Saccharomyces cerevisiae S288C: one gene and its partner. Changing the gene in region 2 together with the main gene of any one other region gives a genetic interaction. Each region holds a gene or a part of one and is shown on either strand. Other genes may lie near its edges.

Region 1 (3,629 bases), on a different chromosome or scaffold from region 2:
TAATCTGTAGTCTGTAAAGTGTCGATTATAAAGCAAACCAGAGAATACCGCTGTAATAATTTTCGTTAATAGAATATAGCCGAAAGAGATACAAATATCAAACTTACTTGGGTCGAGCTCCACCAAGTTTATTAAAGTAAAACAGTCCATCGAATCATCTACCCCTAATCCAACCACATCCTTGGGAAAGAGACACGAAGTCATTTCATGTGGTATCAATGGCTGCTTACCGGTGACCAATGAATACCATCTATCCCACCAGTAGCAGTCCCACCATAACTTACGATATTCTTCGGCAGTGTCCTCATCCTGACCAATATAATATTCCCAACGATTCAAACCAGCATCCAAACTTCGCCTGGACATCGTGGAAATAATTCTTCCCAGCACAAAAGGATCGTCTATCCAATATCTGTGTTTCATCAACGAGACTAAGCCCTTTAAAATAGTCAAGTCGTACATTGTCGAAAATAGGGATCTTTCAAAATATTCAAGACAGAGACAAAAAATCAACTCATCTTGCTCAAGAAAATATTTCAAAGGAAGTAATTTTTTGGAACTTTTACGATCCAACGCCTTGTGGTGCTGTTCCATCAATTGTACTCCGTACATAAACCAGTCTGTTGGTTTATTGAATTTGATTGTTTGGTTAATGTTTGTATTTCCTTTGATTTCATTCGATATATTTGACATAATGTGTTGAATAAGTACGTCGTTCCCACATGAAAGTCCGTTTAGCTTTGAATAATACTCTAAAGGAGATATCGAAGTTACTTTAGGACCAGCATGGCTAGCAGAGCTAGCGTCAAGAAACTTCAAAAATAAATAGATAGTTTCTCTCGTCTCCCTATCATTCGAACATGAAATCAATTTTTTAGTTATCCAGCTAATACCCGTAGAGGCAAAATATAGCAACGGTGAATAGACCCCAAAGTACATACTGACATTTTGTGCAGTATTGCTTTCAAAAGCGTTGGAGAACCTATTCAAAGATTTTGACTGTTTCCCGATAATTTCTGTTTCTATCGATTTCAGGCCACCATACGAGCTAATTTCCTTACTGTCCAGATTGAGGTAAAGCTGAGGTTGTATTTTTTCAAGCTCAGTGCAAATGTTTGCTAGGCCTTTCTGTAAAGAGGCCGGTGCGCTTGGAGGTAACTGTGCCTTCAATTTTGCTATGCTGCACTTAGCATTATCCAAATCATTACTGAGACTACCAGTATAATTGAAAAAAGCCTCAATCGGTTCACGAAATTGATTTCTATACGTACATTTTGATTGAGACCCAATACACCCAAAACATGGCTTCTTACTGTTGCACTTAATCTTTTTCCTATGGCATCTATCACAGGCCTTGGTTACCCTAGATTTTTGTTTGGCTAATCCTCTTTTTGCTGCCATCTCAATAAAATATAAAAAGCTAAAAAGCTTAAAATTTAAACAACAATAATGTCGTTAACCTAATGCGCTTATTCGATGAGATTTGGATTTGCTTCTAGCTTATAGAAAGGAAGAAAGTTTTTACTGTTCAAAGCACACATCAAAAAAATTATTACCCAGCCTTTCAAACAAACAAAGTACTCCAAAATAGTTATTTTTGAATACTAGCAAACCAACCAATCACTTTTTTTGTTGGATTATCAAATAAGCCTAATCAGGTCTTTCATGCAGCGTTGAATCCAGGTTACTTCACCGCACCTTAAGTTAAGATCAGGACAGTATCGGCTGTTCCTGAGAAACCAGCCATATTCAAGTTTCGGTATCCTAACCGTTGATATTGTCCTTATTTGTCGACCTTCAAATATTGTGGCTGCCATGTATATGAGCGCCTCGATCTATTATGACTAAGCCATGCGATTGTCGTGTAATGGTATCGCGCATACTGAAGGTTTCAGCCCTGTTTTGATGTGCCGCGGCAAAGTGGTTTTTCTCCATACAGGATGAAGTGTTTCTTTCCCCATGCCGCGGCAAGCTCATCCTAAATAAATCTCAACTTTTCAACTAAATGTACTTCAATTGAACAAATGCCAAGACCTCAAATGAATCAGTATAAAAGCACCTACCGAATCAATTGTGGGATGTATAGTCTCTTGCCTCAAAATGTCCAGGATAGTAGGTTAATAGTGTCCAATTACATAGCTACTTAATCTTTTATTGTCCATCAACGTTCCAAAATGTCCACAACTGATTCGGGGTTCGTACTTTACCACTATACGCCAAGTAAAGCGGCTGCAATCGTATTTGTCGTACTCTTCATTATAATGACAGTCATTTTTGCCGTTCAAACTTTATATGCTGCGAGAAAATCTTCTAAGGCATTGAAAAATAATCCATTTGAGTCATCTGATGATAAGGTCGATAGTCTTGAGGATGCTGAATACAAGCAACTAAAAATCACACCCACAGTTTTTGCGTTTATACCTTTCTTCACTGGCTGCATCATGGAAGCTGTCGGGTATATCGGGAGGGCTCTATCCAGTTCCAATCCTGAAAGAACGACCCCATATATTATCCAATCTGTTCTTTTATTAGTCGCTCCAGCACTAATAGCTGCGACGATTTATATGATTTTTGGAAGGTTATTACATGTTATGAGGTGCCAATCTTTAATTTTGATTTCTGCACGCTTTGGTACGACTTTCTTTGTTGTGGGAGATGTGTTTAGTTTCTTTTTACAAGCTGCAGGTGGCGGACTAATGTCTAAGGCAGGATCAACGAAGACTGGTTCAGGACTCATAACTGCGGGTCTTTTTGTACAGGTAATTTTTTTTGGATTTTTCATTATCAATGAGATAAGATTCACAGTAAATGTTAAAAGGAGATGCTTATTTTACGAAGATATTTCCAGAAAGTGGATCTTTGTGAATGCTACCCTATTATTAAGCAGTATGTTGATCCTACTACGTTCAATTGTCCGAATAGTTGAATTTATTCAGGGATTCAATGGCTATATAATCTCTCATGAGTATTTCATATATGTCTTCGATGCTGTACCTATGTTATTGGTAATAATAGCATTTAGTGTGGGATCCTTTTTCGGCAACGTATTCGATGTTATAAAGGAGTGTCAAACGTTAAGTAATTAGATAATATATATCAAATTTTGATTTCTATGTAGTGCAGCCAATCAATTTTAACTTCATTTAGAATAAAAATCTTTCCTCTTCTGCTTTGAAGCCATTAAAACGAAAGATCTAGGCGGTACTATTTCTCCATTCTCAGCCGTACAATCATGCACCGAAAAGGAAGGCAATGTATTGAATTTTTCGCCGAGAACAAAATATTTGTAAACACTCGTTAGATTCCGCATTGTTAAGTGGCATCACAAACACAATCAAGATTAAGAGAAAAGTAGCTCGTTGAGAAAGATTCTTGTACATATCGGGATACTTCTGAAGTCTAATAAAACATTCAAATAAAGACAGACTGGATAAAAGATTCCTGAACGTCAAAACTTATATCTTCTTGTCCCTTGGAATGTCTCTCTGCTCTTATATTGTTGCTGTTGAGTGGTCTCATGACAATAAAGTATGTCACTGAATTGAAGACTACTGAACCATGGCAGCTAATACAATCACGCCCATCCAGAAAAGTGTCGTGTGGCGAAAATTTTTGTTCACGTTGAACAG
Region 2 (2,939 bases):
TTAAGAAGAAGGGAACGATTTACTAGATCATGCTATACGCAGTAAGGTTCTGATAGTTAATTACAATCGGTCCAAGTTCTAAGCGGTGTCGTCCATGCATATATCATTTACAAGTTACTGGCGTCAACTCTTCAAATATTCAAAATATCACCTAATCAAACTTACTAACATTTTCCTTTTTTGTTTTCCTTCTTTTATAGATCGACGTTGCTGGTGGTAAGAAGGCTTTGGCCATTTTTGTTCCAGTCCCATCTTTGGCTGGTTTCCACAAGGTTCAAACTAAGTTGACCCGTGAATTGGAAAAGAAATTCCAAGACCGTCATGTCATCTTCTTGGCTGAAAGAAGAATCTTGCCAAAGCCATCTAGAACATCTAGACAAGTCCAAAAGAGACCAAGATCCAGAACCTTGACTGCTGTTCATGACAAGATCTTGGAAGACTTAGTCTTCCCAACTGAAATCGTTGGTAAGAGAGTTAGATATTTGGTTGGTGGTAACAAGATCCAAAAGGTTTTGTTAGACTCAAAGGATGTCCAACAAATCGACTACAAATTGGAATCTTTCCAAGCTGTTTACAACAAATTGACTGGTAAGCAAATTGTTTTCGAAATTCCAAGTGAAACTCATTAGTTAATATAATAATATCTAAATCTTTATTATTAGTTAGTAACAACTTTGTTTATTTTATAGCACAATAAGATAATAAAAACTCCAAATTCCAAAAAAAAATACTTTTTGCAAAGATCTGAATCAAATAAATTTTATGACAACTATGCATAGTTACATACTTTTTCACCGCCGTATGATTGCCGCTAAATCGACAGGTTGCCATACAAACATTTATTTATGTCGTGCCATGTTTATAAAATTTTCGTATCTGTTGGAGTTAGATAAGCCTACGCTTGATGGACCGTTGGGTGGCTTTCTAAGTGAGCTCGTGCCATCACAATTAATATAAGGAATTGTAGATGTTTCTTTCGTTATAGGTATTTCAAAATAATTATAAGAACCTACGCCCTCGTCTTTCTCCATTGGAACAGTTGCCGTTTTCGCAGTTCTTTTTGGTTCAGTCCTCATATCATGTGATTCCCCTGGCTCTCCTGATCTTTTTATACTTACTTTGAAATCGTCATATGTGTATTTCTTTGATGCAACTCCGATAACGAAGACAATGCTTCCAATAATAACTAAGAATTTGCATACCGTTATTAAACCTACCAAAAGTTTACCTATAAGCTTCTGTAATATTGGCCCCATCATTGTTGTGAATACGCACCCTACCAAAAATGATGGGAAATCCAGCACAATACTGCCAGGCCCACTACCTATTGTAATTTTCCATCGTAACCAATCCCTTTTCAAATCCATCCGTGACTTCTATGTCTCGTTACTTTCACAGCGTGTGGAGCTACTAGAAAAGTGGCAAAGCTAAACAGCTGATCGAAGTAAACAGAAAAGAACACTAATTGTAGATCAGGCTGTGTACTAGACCTTATTTTACTGTATTTTTTCGGAAAGAAAAAAGGAGCGCTTTGCAGATCGAAAGTTTCGCTCGTAAATTATTTGTAAGATGCTATTCATAATATGTTAACTGAGAGAAACCAGGTCAAAACAAAACAATTTTGGGCTCTTGCCTCCAAATTTGCCTACCCTAGAACAGGTATCCATTATCTCGCCTGTACCCGATTAAAAAAAAGACCAATTATTTAAAACTTCTCAAGAAGTTTCATATGCAGTGTATAAGTTGAAGGAATATAGGAATATATATCCTTCAGAAAAGCAACACAATACCTAATTACATAACCGATATTTACCTTTTAGAGTGCCTCATTCTTGCAATCTTTCTGTTCGCCATAACACCACCGCCCATGCTCATGCCATTATTTGTTCCCATCCCCATCTGATTAGGGGCTGACTGCGGCTGCCCAAAAGAAGTTGTCGGCACACCACCTGCCCCCCCAAAAATGGATGATGGATTTGTTACGTTTGAATTGGAACCAGAGGCAGCATTCGCACCAAATATATCACTTGGCCTTAATGCATTGGTCGCGGTATTAGTAATTCCGCCATTCAATCCGCTAAAATTAATATTAGGAACTGTTGATGGCGTGAATGAGCTGTTTGTATTGAAAGATGGGGTTTGCGATTGATGTGGTTGGTTATTAGAGCCGGCAAACACCGTATTAGCATTAGTGTTGCCGTTCATATTAAATACAGAGCCGCCACCAGGCGTTGAATTATTTCCCGTAAAATTAAAAGCAGAGGGAACATTGACATTTTGTGCATTCGTGGAAGGAGGTTTATTGAATAAACCAGCATTAGCATTAGTTGACGAAGTTGCTGATGTAAAAGGATTGAGACCCCCTGCACCATTGTTTCCAAAATTAAATGAAGATTGATTAGAAGCTGCACCAGTTGCTGCTGTTCCTGAGCTCGAAAAGCCAAATGCCGAGCCCGCTCCATTCGTATTGCCACTAGCGATACTTTGATCCGGTTTTCCTACGTTAAATGTACCCGCTATATTGGTTCCTGAGGTATTGGAAGTAGTAGTTGTGCCGTTACCAGTAGCAGGGGCGTTAAACGAGAATGATGTGGAGTTTGCTGAGGCATTGGTACCATTGGTGTTAGCAGTACCGAATGAAAATGCAGATTTAGATGTTGTATTACCAGTAGCGTCTGTTGGCTTACCCAAGACAGGAATCGGCGTTGAGGAAGCAGAACCATCGAAGAAAGAAGTTGGAGAGTTTGACTTTTCTTTATTGTGATTGAACTTTGTAAAGGAAAAGCCATTTGATAGCTTCTCCGTATTTGCTGCCGCTGTACTTGCTGTCGACTTCATCGACTCGGGAGCCCCAAAACTAAAAGATGGTTTTGTGCTAGTGGTTGTTGTATTATTTGTTGTGGAACCGCCAAAGGTGAAAGATGGCGGTGTAGGTCTTT

What was found.
Region 1: mutations in YOR097C (region 2) and PUG1 together harm fitness more than expected from each alone (negative genetic interaction), as found in Saccharomyces cerevisiae (one large-scale study listed by BioGRID).

What each region holds. Positions count from the first base shown.
Region 1 is NC_001137.3:557,280-560,908, forward strand, and holds PUG1 (Pug1p), read left to right. Parts: upstream 1-2,174; coding exon 2,175-3,086; downstream 3,087-3,629. Other genes in the region: TOG1 (Tog1p), read right to left, coding at 1-1,401. UniProt on the Saccharomyces cerevisiae protein: Involved in inducible protoporphyrin IX influx and heme efflux.
Region 2 is NC_001147.6:506,139-509,077, forward strand, and holds YOR097C (uncharacterized protein), read right to left. Parts: upstream 1,368-2,939; coding exon 840-1,367; downstream 1-839. Other genes in the region: 40S ribosomal protein eS7 RPS7A, read left to right, coding at 201-629; FG-nucleoporin NUP1, read right to left, coding at 1,810-2,939.